Linked DNA regions of Caenorhabditis elegans. The protein of the gene in region 1 purifies or fractionates together with the protein of each later gene. This does not show direct contact. Each region holds a gene or a part of one and is shown on either strand. Other genes may lie near its edges.

What was found.
Region 2: the proteins of aco-2 (region 1) and tpi-1 fractionate together in Caenorhabditis elegans (co-fractionation; one large-scale study listed by BioGRID). This does not show direct contact.

The regions. Positions count from the first base shown.
Region 1 is NC_003281.10:7,971,265-7,978,429, reverse strand, and holds aco-2 (putative aconitate hydratase, mitochondrial), read right to left. Parts: upstream 4,714-7,165; 5' UTR 4,706-4,713; coding exon 4,628-4,705; intron 4,590-4,627; exon of another isoform or gene 4,584-4,589; coding exon 4,498-4,583; intron 3,843-4,497; coding exon 3,584-3,842; intron 3,515-3,583; coding exon 2,392-3,514; intron 2,333-2,391; coding exon 1,811-2,332; intron 1,738-1,810; coding exon 1,472-1,737; 3' UTR 1,181-1,471; coding exon of another isoform or gene 1,118-1,180; 3' UTR 1,075-1,117; downstream 1-1,074. Other genes in the region: C06G4.4 (uncharacterized protein), read left to right, coding at 737-1,063, 1,118-1,180; eef-1B.1 (putative elongation factor 1-beta/1-delta 1), read left to right, coding at 5,160-5,236, 5,355-5,785, 5,833-5,966; F54H12.5 (uncharacterized protein), read left to right, coding at 6,328-6,461, 6,506-6,700. UniProt on the Caenorhabditis elegans protein: Catalyzes the isomerization of citrate to isocitrate via cis-aconitate.
Region 2 is NC_003280.10:12,035,504-12,041,453, reverse strand, and holds tpi-1 (Triosephosphate isomerase), read left to right. Parts: upstream 1-2,314; 5' UTR 2,315-2,321; coding exon 2,322-2,639; intron 2,640-2,862; coding exon 2,863-2,964; intron 2,965-3,876; coding exon 3,877-4,200; 3' UTR 4,201-4,619; downstream 4,620-5,950. Other genes in the region: cyn-16 (Spliceosome-associated protein CWC27 homolog), read left to right, coding at 4,719-4,760. UniProt on the Caenorhabditis elegans protein: Triosephosphate isomerase is an extremely efficient metabolic enzyme that catalyzes the interconversion between dihydroxyacetone phosphate (DHAP) and D-glyceraldehyde-3-phosphate (G3P) in glycolysis and gluconeogenesis.

The sequences.
Region 1 (7,165 bases):
TATTTTGGAAGGCGCATGACAAGCGAACTATTTACCAAATCTTAAATAAAATCAAAAATGCATGTATTCTGGGTCAAGTTTTTTGAGAGTGGTAGATTGCGGCAACAAACAAATAGACACTGACGACTAACGGGACACAACACACTTTACAACTTAAAATGAAAAGGCGGGAAAATAAAAGGGGAGGAAGAAGAATTAGAGAACACAAAAAGTGTTTAAAAGATCATTTGGCTTGATTGAAACATGAGAAAATTCTTTCAAAAAGTGCACGACTTTAGAAAAAATAATTAAATTGATAACATTATAATATTTTTAAAAATAATATGAAATAAATACTGAAATTCAATAAATTTCTAGCAAAGAAAACGCAAAAAACAAACAATCAAATCAATGTTTCGGCCGACGAGTCTCGCAACGAAAACATAGCAATGAACGAATGTTGTCTGTGCCTTTAAAAAGTACCGTAGTCAAATAAAATATCAAGCCTAGAATGAGTTCGAGATTGCAATTCACCAATGATTAGATGCAGAATATAAAAACAAACATTTAAAAATTAATCACGCGAAAAAGTATATTTCCTACGTAAAGTTTATAATATTCGGTTCAATTACTTCATCATAAAATATTCAGTTCTTCGTTTTTTATCACTCAATACAAGCTAATTGAAAAGGTGAATTTATTGGATTTATTTTTCTTTCCTAATTTTTTCTAACTTGCAGCTGAATCCACTTCGATAATGTCAGAAGCACCGAAGAGAAGCGAAAAATCTGCTGATTATAAAAAAGCGGTGGCAAAACAGCGACGCATTAAGAAACTTCGCAAAATGAAGATTAAAGATAGAGCTGGTGACGTGGTTGTCAGTGATATTTCTGACGTTGAAGTTGTTGGAAATGGTGATGAAGAATCACAGGATGATTGGTTGAATGATCTTCTGAAGAGTGATGGTGATGGTGGAAAAGCCGGACCGGTTGATCCTTCGCATCCAATGGAAACCACAACAACTGATCATTCTTCACAAAACACTCTGGCATCAAAGATCTGTGCATTCACTTATGATAACTCGGTAAATTTGGATTTAGCTTTCATTTGAGTATACTCCAATCAGTTTATTTTAAAGGCTCTTCTTGGCGTTGGAATCGTCACGGTGGCCCTCAGTATCTTCGCCCGTCTTCGTAAATGATCAATAAATGAACAAGAATAAATAGTTGTGTCTTTTCATGGAAATAAGAATCAATTACAAAAAAACGAAAACGAAACAAAACAATATCTACTCATACATAAAAACAATCTCATGGAGGTTGTGATGACTACTATGGGAAAATTGGGAATGAACTGAAGTATTTAGAAAATGTTTTTCACTTCTCTAATGAATTTTCAAAATACTTCAATTCAGTATACATTACATTACAGTTTGTTGAAAATGAGTATTTACTACAGGTTTTGAAGAGAAAATAGTTTTCCAATGAAACATTTATTTGCTCTTTGCGAATACTTCCTTCATTCTGTTGAGGGCAGATCCGGCCTTGAACCACTCGATTTGTTGCTCGTTGAAGGTGTGATTCAAGGTCACTTCCACCTTTGATCCATTGGTCTTCTTGAAAATAGCCGTAAGTGGCTTTCCTGGAGCAAAACTGGAGAGTCCGACGATAGAAACATTGTCTGATGGATCGATTTTGTCGTAGTCAGCTGGGTTGGCAAATGTGAGTGGGAGCATTCCTTGTTTCTTCAAGTTCGTCTCTGAAAAAAATAAGTTATGGCGCGTTGAGGAAATAAGCAAGGTAAATTTTATTTATTTTGAAGACTAACTGACCGTGAATACGGGCGAAGGATTTCACGATGATAGCTCTTCCTCCAAGATGACGTGGCTCAAGAGCAGCATGTTCGCGAGATGAACCCTCTCCGTAGTTCTCGTCTCCGATAGCAACCCATCTAACTCCATCAGCCTTGTATTTGCGGGCAGTGGCTGGAACGGCTCCATATTCTCCAGTAACTTGGTTCTTGACCTTGTTCATCTCTCCGTTGTCAGCATTGATAGCCGTAAGGAAAAGATTATTCGAAATGTTGTCCAAATGTCCACGATATTTGAGCCATGGTCCAGCAGCAGAAATGTGATCAGTAGTACATTTTCCGGTAACCTTGATGAGGATCTTCATATCTTCGAGGTCCTTTCCATCCCACTTGTCGAATGGAGACAAAAGTTGAAGACGATCAGAAGATGGAGATACATCAACCTGTCCGCTTCCAGATGGGGCTTGGAATGTGTCCTCTCCTGGATCGTAACCCTTTGGTGGAAGGTCGAGTCCAGTTGGAGCCTGGAGTTTGAATTTGCTTCCTGAAATGATAAACGAGGTTGAGTAATGAAAAAATATAACTATTCAAAATGTTACTAACCATCAGCGGCGGTGAGCTCATCAGTAAGTGGATTGAAGTCAAGACGTCCGGAGATGGCCATAGCAGTTGTGATATCTGGAGAAGTAACGAAACCGTGAGTGGCTGGGTTCGCATCATTTCTTCCGGTGAAGTTACGGTTGTATGATGTGACAATTGTGTTTTTTTCTCCCTTCTTCACATCCTGACGATCCCATTGTCCAATACATGGTCCACAGGCATTTGCGAGAACCATTCCTCCGAAATCAGCGAAAATCTTGGAGAGTCCGTCTCTTTCAATAGTGGCACGGACTTGCTCGGATCCTGGGGTGATGGTGAAAATGGTCTTAGCCTTGAGTCCCTTATCAAGAGCTTGTTTGGCAATGGAAGCAGCACGGGTCATGTCTTCGTATGAAGAGTTGGTGCATGATCCGATAAGTGAGACCTTTACATCGAGTGGCCATCCGTTCTTCTTGGCGTTTTCTCCAAGTTTGTCGATGGAAGAGGCAAGATCTGGAGTGAATGGTCCGTTGACATGTGGAGTAAGAGTGTCGAGGTTGATCTCGATGATTTGATCATAGTTAGCTCCATCGTCAGCAGTGAGGAGATCTTTGTACTTTCTGGCTTCTTCGGCGATTTCTTTACGTCCAGTAGCTTCCAGATACTTGTACATGCTCTCGTTGTATGGGAAGACAGATGTCGTAGCTCCGATTTCGGCTCCCATGTTGCAGATGGTTCCCATTCCAGTTGCAGAAATAGAATCCACTCCTGGGCCGAAATACTCAACAATAGCTCCAGTTCCTCCTTTGACAGTGAGGATATCAGCAACCTTCAAGATAACGTCCTTGGCAGAAGTCCATCCGTTGAGCTTTCCAGTGAGTTTGATTCCAATGACCTTCGGGCACTTGAGCTCCCATGGAATATCAGCCATAACATCTACAGCATCGGCTCCACCAACTCCAATACAAAGTCCTCCAAGTCCTCCTCCGTTAGGTGTGTGAGAATCAGTTCCGATGAGAAGAAGTCCTGGGAAAGCGTAGTTCTCAAGAATGATTTGATGGATAATTCCAGATCCTGGCTTCCAGAATCCAACTCCATATTTGCTTCCAGCAGTAGCAAGGAAGTTGAAGACTTCTTTGTTGAGGTCCTAGAAATCGAAATATATTTAGGGTGAAGAAAATTTAAGTAAAATAATTTTTTCGCAAATATCACAAACCTTAGCACGGGCCAAATCTTGGGCTCCACCCTTTTGAGCTTCAATCAAATGATCGCAATGAATAGTTGATGGAACAGCTGTCTTTGGAAGTCCGGAGCTGATGAATTGGAGCATAGCCATTTGAGCGGTAGCATCTTGCATAGCAACACGATCTGGACGAAGACGAAGGTATGAAACTCCTCTCTCAATATCTTGAGTTTTTGGTTGATCCAAATGTCCATAGAGAATCTTTTCGGAAAGCGTCAATGGACGTTTCAATCTGAAACAATATATTTTTTGTTTTTATCAGTAGAAAAACTAAAATCTATTTTTAAAGTTTTTAGTTAGACTTAACGATGTTTCCTTCATGAGTTCAAAGTACTGTCACACGGCAAATATCACCTCGGCTTCAAAGTTCGACCAGTCTGGAGACTAGAGAATGTGGTCCACATGAATTTCTATGCAACGTTCAACTAGATAATTTTCATAATTTCTATTGTGACATCACAATTAATGACACCAGAAATTAGATTTTGCATCATCAAAAGTTGAAAAGAATAGTGATGTACACTTATGAAACTGTATTATGGTCAAAACGCCCTCTCACAACATGTTGACATTAATCAGAGAACAGAGATGGAAAAGATTCGACGTTTTCTTGGTTCTCTCAATGACGCTCTAACCCATCTTCTTATTACAACGGAACTCTGTTTGTTTCTCTCTGCGACCCTTGGCTTGTGACTGCGATTTGGGTGAGCTTTCACTATTCGAGAGTTAGAAATAACATAAAAGAACCTATAACTGAACTGTATGTGTTGTAATGTCAGTGGCGCACATGACTATTCACCATAAACATCATTAATTGTATGATAACGAACAGAAAGCAGTGAAGATACTTTGTACTTGACAAGCTAAACAAATTGAACTTTACACACCTGTCTTTCACAATCTTCACAGTCTGAGATAGTTTCTCGTACGGGAGGTACGACTTCGGCTCGAATTTACTGATTGCAACTTTGCTCTGAAAACAAAAGATTTATAATAATTATGCTTAGGTTTGAATACCCAGATGGACGAAGAGGAGTGAAGTGCGCGATAATGTGCAGGTCCAGCCAAGTGGCTCAACCGAAGAAGAGAATTCATGGTTTCTCCTGTAAATTACAGAACAATGAAAGATTTTCACAGAAATTCCTGTCCGACAAAGGGAAAGAAATAGAACCTATTTAAAAAAATTAAAAGAAAGGATAATATTCATAAACACAGGCCTAAAACTTAATTTGGAACAATTAAAAAGCTTTTCTCTGCAGTAAATAACCCCTCGGAACGAAAACAAGTGATTCCGCAGCGAACCGAAAAGAAAATGATAACGCATCGGTCAGCAGAGACGGCGTGCATGCCGAAAATGAATGGGAGGAGAAATGAAAGCGCGAAACTTGGGCGCCTCCGGTCAGCAAACACGCCATTGAATGATCACTGGCGCTATGCTCGTTTGAAGGCGCATGGGGTTTCGACAGACTTTGAGTCTCGCAACGATTTTATTCACTAACCTATTTGTAGGACTTTTAGCATCATTCCTTCGTGTTTCACTCCTGAAAAGATGGTTGCCGACGTCAAGAGCCCAGCTGGACTTGCTGCTTTCAACACTACTCTCGCCGAGCAGGCTTTTGCCACTGGGTTAGTCTTTAAATTCTGAAGTTATGCAATTTTTAGGAAAAAATGCAGAAAATAGGTGTAATCAACTCTTGTAAATTTTTCAGATAGTCTATTCATTGAAATAATTTGAAAATTATAGCTTCGTCTTGTCTGGAGAGGACGCCCAACTTTTCGCCGCTCTCGGATCCGCCCCAAACGCCTCCACCTATCCAAATGTTGCCCGTTGGTACGCTAATGTAGCTTCTTACACTGATGCTGAGCGCAAGACCTGGGCTTCCGCCGGAGGATCAGCTCCAGCTGCCGCTGCTGCTGATGGAGATGACTTCGATCTTTTCGGATCCGACGATGAGGAGGAAGATGCCGAGAAGGCAAAGATCGTTGAGGAGCGTCTCGCCGCTTACGCCGAGAAGAAGGCCAAGAAGGCTGGACCAATTGCTAAATCTTCAGTCATTCTTGATGTAAAGCCATGGGACGATGAGACCGACCTCGGAGAGATGGAGAAGCTCGTTCGTTCTATCGAGATGGACGGACTTGTCTGGGGAGGAGCTAAGCTTATCCCAATTGGATACGGTTAGTGGATTGAAATTCACACAATTAAAATTTATGTAAACTTTCAGGAATCAAGAAGCTCCAGATCATCACTGTTATCGAGGATCTCAAGGTTTCGGTTGATGACCTCATCGAGAAGATCACCGGAGACTTCGAGGATCACGTCCAATCCGTCGACATTGTCGCCTTCAACAAGATCTAGAGGAATCTTTATATTTCTTGTTATGTTTTCATCAAGATAAATGAACCCATATATTGCAAAAAATGTTACAACATTGAAAGAAACACTCTGAGCATCAATAAGAAATCCTCCCGACTACGAAAGCGAAAAAAATTGTTTTTTAAAGAACTATGATTAAATTAGAAGCACAGTTCATTCTCTTCTGAAAATCGTATGAAGTCTCATAATTGCACAAAGTTACGATATAAGAATAATTGGAAGGGGTAGACTGAAGTGGGCAGGGTCACCACTATACAGTCCAGATTCCCGTTCGCAACGAGACCATATATTTTTACCTTGTGGGAAAACCAATCGATGTTTTCTAATAGTAAGTAGACCCCGCATGCTGTTCATCTCGAGATCTCTTCTCCCCATTTTGTATTTCCAGTTATTCAAAAAAATGTCACCTTTTCGTTTATTATCACTTCCTACACTTGCTTTGAAGAATGTACTTCTTCATATAGACTTTATTGATTTGTAAGTTAATACTTTATATAATAAGACAAACACCTTGAATTCAGGTTGGAACTATCACTTGCTTCGAAAAAATGTGAAATTTACATGAAAACTTGCTGCTTAAAAATTGATTCCTTGCATTTTCATTTTCGACGTATTCAACTAAACTCAAAATCCAAATCATTAGAGTTTGATTTCAATTCTGTTGTCGATATTTCTGCGTGTTCACGAAAAGTCAAGGGCAGCCGATATGACGCATGGTAAGTGTTGGGACATATAATATATGTACATATATTTCATTCAAGTTACAATTAGGTTGGTCCTCGCTTAACATCTGAGGATTCTGGCTATTTTTTCACAATAAAAACACTGCAGAATTTTTGTGACTTTAATATTTTCGAAAACAATTATTTTCTGACGCAAAATACTAAAAAATACTGTACCCCGTCTCGACCCGACAAATTTTGTTTTGTTTTCTCGCGAGATGTTTGCGCCTTTAAAGATTACTGTAACCTGAAACTTTCGTTTCTGCGGAATTTTCAATTAATTAATTTCTATAACGTTTCTATATAAATATATGTATTTATTTAGAAACTGAAAGGCAACAGTAAGAACTATTGCCTAATATGCGAAAACGATGAAAATCCCGCAGCACCGGAAGCTTGATAGTACAGTACTCTTCAAAGGCGCATGCATTCTCGCTTTCAACAAAACTTGTCGTGTCG
Region 2 (5,950 bases), on another chromosome or scaffold:
CACTTTTCTAATCAGAAAATATCTATTTTCGAACAAAAACTATGTTTTTGTTATAAAAAGTGTCACGAGGTAGTGGAAGTGATCACATCATATTTATTTGGTTTTCTTTCGACCGAAAAAATGAAAAAAAAATGATGTTGAACTTACAATGAGAGGCATTTTCGGGGGCGAAAAATCTAGAAAAAATTGTTTTTTTAAGCCTGATAATCTGATAATACTTCTAAGCTGCTGTGGATTTAACTATAAATCTGTAGGATAAAGGTTTTCAAAATTCGAAAAGCGTATGATTTTTAATGCTTAATTGTACCATGAAGAAGCACCAATAAATGGGCGGAGTTTGGCAATATATGGGCGGTGCTTTGCGAAGATTTAAATTTTCGAAAACGTCATATATAGAAAATTCGAATGATTTTTAGCTGCATTACTGCAAATTGAACTTAAAAATAGTGACTTTTTTTTCAAAAATTTCACAAAAATCCCGTCCATTTATTAATGTTTTGGTAAAAAATCGAGTTTTCGCCAAACTGCGACGTAAACGCAAAAAACCAATAAAAGGGCGGAGCGTTTTTTTGAAAAATCACTGTGATTTTAATTTCATTGTAATTTCTGATGTTTTCCAACATATTTTCCTGTAAATATATATTACTGGAACAAAATACTATGAGAATGCGTATTGCACAACATATTTGACGCGTAAAATATCTCGTAGCGAAAACTACTGTAACTCTTTAAATGACTACTGTAACGCTGGTGTCGATTTACGGGCTCGATTTTTTGAAATAAATAGAATATTAAAACTAAGCATCCATTTTGAAAATCGAGCCCCGTAAATCGGCATAAGCACTACAGTAGTCATTTTAAGAATTACTGTAGTTTTCGCTACAAGATATTTTGCGCGTCAAATATGTTGTGCAGTACGTATTCTCTGAATTTTGTGCTCCCGTAATAACCCTTCCCAATCGAATCTATCCACAAACACTCTTCTGCCATTCACACACACACACTACTCAGAACATTACAAAATACGTGCAAACTCGGACTGCGCCTTCTCTCTCCGTCTCTTCATTGTCTACACTGTATCGTCTCGTTTCTCTCGACTGCTGCTGCTGGCCAGCCAAAAAAAAGAAAAATAAAATCGAAGAAACCCCGCTATCTCACTTGTTGTGTAGTCTTGATTTCGATTGAAATTTGTTTCGAAAAAACAATGTCGAATTCGATTTTCCATTGTTATCTCTCGTCCTTATCAAACGTTGGCTATTGATCACGATTTTCGAAAGTCATTTGCGTCATTTTTAATTTTTGCCTAGACTCTAGAGTATCGACTTTTCACGATTTTCTTGTCAGTATTCTTGTCGAAAAGTGACTCGAATTTAATGAAAATTTGTCGTGTCGAGACCGGGTGTGTCTCAAAAATCGTAAAATTTCGCCTCTGGCTAATTTAGTATTCATTGGCAAATGTAAGAAAGGTATATAGTTCAGCAAAAATTCCTTTTGTGTTCGACTCGAAATTATCTGAAATTACCGAATTTCATAATGAAAATTCTTGAAAACTTCTCAAAAAAAGTTATGGCGGTACAAAAAATGACCTGAAATTAGTTAAAATTTGAAATTTGACCGTCTTGTCAAGCGGCTGGATGCTAACTTTTTGAAATCATCGTCTAATTATGGGTATATAAGTTAATTATCTTGCGTTTTCAACTCGATTTAGGTATATTTGAGGTCGATTTGTCACCAGATTTGGTTAAATTTGGTAACATCTGGGGGATACATCGAGCTTAAATGTACCAAAATCGAGTTGAAACTGCAACAAGAAATTAACTTGTATACCCAAAATTAGACGGTTATTTCAAAAAAGTTAGCCGCTTGAAAAGTCGGTTAAATTTCAAATTTTAACTAATTTCAGGTAATTTTTTGAGCCGCCATAACTTTTTGGAGGAGTTTTCAAGAAGTTTCATTATGAAATTCGGTGTTTTTAGACTATTTCGAGACTACTTAAACAATAAAAAACGTTCGACTAGACCATCTTTAGATAGTTAAGTTTTTGCTGAACTATATACTTTTCTTACATTTGCCAATCAATACTAAATTAGCTAGAGGCGAAATATTACGATTTTTGAGCCATACCAGGTCTCGAGACGACATTTTTAAAAATTAAATTTGAGCCACTTTTTGAAAAGAATACAGGGCAAGAAAATCGGGAAAATCGATACTCTCGGTTTCACAAAGAATAGCAATTCTTCTATCGTTTTCTCCTCCTTATTCTGAATTTCTATCCAAATTTCCCTCCAACAAAAAAATTCCATAATTCTTGTAGAATCAAGATGACTCGCAAGTTCTTCGTCGGAGGAAACTGGAAGATGAACGGAGACTATGCCTCCGTCGATGGTATCGTCACCTTCCTCAACGCCTCAGCCGACAATTCCTCCGTTGATGTCGTCGTTGCTCCACCAGCTCCATATCTGGCCTACGCTAAATCCAAGCTTAAAGCCGGTGTGCTTGTCGCCGCACAAAACTGCTACAAAGTGCCAAAGGGAGCATTCACCGGGGAAATTTCGCCGGCAATGATCAAGGATCTTGGATTGGAATGGGTGATCCTCGGACACTCGGAACGTCGTCATGTCTTTGGAGAAAGCGATGCTGTTAGTTTAATACATTTTGATTTGATCTTCGAAAAATTCGGGAAAAGATCTTCTCGAGACGCAGACTTTTCCACTGATTTCGCAAGAGTGTGCTGACGTCACATTTTTCTGGCAGAAAAATTCCCGCATTTTTTGTAGATCAAACCGCAATGAGACAGCCTGACACCAAGTGTCAATAAAAAATTCGAGTTTCAGGGAAATTAATCTGAAATTTCTTTTTCAGCTGATCGCTGAGAAGACCGTGCATGCTCTCGAGGCTGGAATTAAGGTCGTTTTCTGCATTGGGGAGAAGCTCGAGGAGCGTGAAGCCGGACACACCAAGGATGTAAGGGAGCAAAATACTGGAAATTATCGATTTTTCGCAAGAAAATTTGAAAATTCAACATTTTCAAACTTTCAGATTTTTTTTCTTAATTTTTTCGGGTAGAAAATCGATTTCTTCTAATATTTCAGTAGAAAAATCAAGTTTTTGAGATTTTTTGAAAATTCCAAAATGGTTTTGTTTCGAATTTGCACGTTTTTCGGGAATTTTTCAAAGTTTCTTCTTAAAAAATCCCTGAATTTTATAGTTTTGAGCTCAATTTTTCCTCAAAAAAAACGCAATATTTCTCTTTCTGCAACGAATATTAGAAATAATCGCTTCGAGACCCGATTTTTATGAATTTTCGTGAATTTTGAACAGAAAACATTTAATTTTATCATTTTCCAAAAAAGCGGAAAATTCCAACAAAAAATGGTCGCCAAAAATAATTCTTTTTTTTTTTGCCAAATTTTCAACAAAAAAATTGGTTCCGGCAATAAAAAAGAAAAAACTCCTGAAATAGTCGTTTCGAGACCCGATTTCTTATGAATTTTCTTGAATTTTGCAGAAAAGTTCAAAAAAAAATCTCCGAAGAAACATTTTTATTTAAAAATCTTCGAAAAATCGATTAAATTCCCTATTCCACGTGGTAAAACAAAAAAAGTTCAAAAATAATCGCTTCGAGACCCGATTTTTTAATGAATTTTCGTGAAATTTATATAAAAATACAAATTTAAATTCCCAAAAACGCGAAAAATTCAAAAAAAAAAAAGAATCCCGAAGAATATAAAATTTTCGAAAAATCGATAAAATTTGAAACAAAAAATTCCTGAAAAATAATACCCAATTCCTTATAAATAAAGATTTTTTTTAATGTTGTAGAAAAATAAATTTCAAAAATCGATCGCTTCGAGACCCAAATTTTCCAATTTCCAGGTAAACTTCCGTCAACTTCAAGCCATCGTCGACAAGGGTGTCAGCTGGGAGAACATTGTGATCGCCTACGAACCAGTTTGGGCCATCGGAACCGGAAAGACTGCTTCTGGAGAACAAGCCCAGGAGGTTCATGAATGGATCCGTGCATTCCTCAAAGAGAAGGTCTCACCAGCTGTCGCCGATGCCACGAGAATCATTTATGGAGGATCTGTGACTGCTGACAATGCGGCTGAGCTTGGAAAGAAGCCGGATATCGATGGATTCTTGGTCGGTGGAGCATCGTTGAAACCCGATTTTGTCAAGATTATCAACGCCAGATCTTAAATTATTATTTATTTCCCCCTATTTCACAGATTTTTCCGGATTTCCACTGATTTTTCACCGATTCCCCTAAATTTTGGTCGTAAAATTGGTTGATTTTCATTGATTCCCCTAATTTTTAGCCGTAAAATTAGCTGATTTTTCCCGGAATTTCAGCTTCAAAATTGTAGAATTTCCCTTAGTTTTCCCCAATTTTCCCCCAGATTTCCTCTAAATTATATTGTAAAATTAGCTGATTTTCATCAATTTTCCCGGAATTTTGACCGAAAAAAATCCAAAATTTGGGTGAATTCGTGAATTTTTTGGCTTGAAATTTGGCTTTTTCCTCTCTACAGTGTAGATATTAGTAGCAGCTTTTTTTTCCAGTATTTTTGATATTCAAAACCTATATATATTTATATAAATAAATTTCTTGCCGACAAATAACAAAAAATCGATATTTTCAAACAATAGTTACTTGTTCTGTGTGAATATTTCAGCCGGCGATTTTCAGATTTTTGCGGAAAATTTTCAGTTTTCAGATGAGTAATCAATATATCAACGAGCCGATTACGACGGGAAAGGTAAAATTATTGATTTTTATCGATTTTTGGTGGAAAAAATTGAATTTTCCAGAAAAAATGACCGAAAATTTCAATTTTTATCGATTTTTGAATAAAAATCGAAAATCCAGTGAAATTTTCGATTTTTCCGATGAAAAATTCGCGTATTTTTGCAATTTTTAAGCTGTAAAACGAAAATTTTGAGTTTTTTTTATCTAAAAATTGGCTAATTTCGAAAAATTTTGGATAATTTATTGAAAAATACGACCAATTTTGCACTTTTTGCGCCAAAACTACGTTTCCTGGTCTCGACACGACAATTTTTGTTTATTGCAAAGAGGTGTGCGCCTTTAAAGAGTACTGTAGTCTTGAACATTTTTTTAATCAAAAAATCTATAAAAATTCGAGACTACAGTAATCTTTAAAGGCGCACATCTTTTTAACAAAAATGTGTCGCTTCGAGACCCTAGGTACCGTAGTTTTGGCGCGAAAATCGCAGAATTCGTCATATTTTTCTCTTTTTTTTAAATTAAATATCCGAATTTTTTGAAATTTGTCAATTTTTAGAGGAAAAATCGAAAAAATATGACGAATTTTGCGCTTTTCGCGCCAAAAATACGGTATCTATGGTCTCGACACGACGACTTTTTGTTAACTGCAAAAAGGTGTGCGCCTTTAAAAAGAGTACTGTAGTCTTGAACATTTTTTTAATCAAAAAATCGATAAAAATTCGAAAATTTTTTATCCAAAAACTACAGTTTACTATGAAAAATTGATGAAAATTCGAATGTACAGTAATCTTTAAAAGCGCACATTTTTAAACAAAAATATGTCGCTTCGAGACCCTATGTACCGTTGTTTTGGCGCGAAAATTGCAGATTTCGTCATATTTTACTCCTTTTTAAAAATTAAATATCCGAATTTTTAAAAAGTTGTCAATTTTTAGATGAAAAATCGCAAAAATATGACAAATTTTGCGATTTTCGAGCCCAAACTACGGTACCTAGGGTCTCGACACGACAAAAAATTTTTGATTGCGAAAAGGTGTGCGCCTTTAAAGAGCTGTAGTTGCAAACTTTAAAATAAAATTACAGTAATCTTTAAAGGCGCACACGTATCTCAATTAGCAATAATAAAAATTCGTGTCGATACCCTAGGTACTGTAGTTTTGGCGCGAAAATCCCAAAATTTTGAAGAAATCGAAACAAATT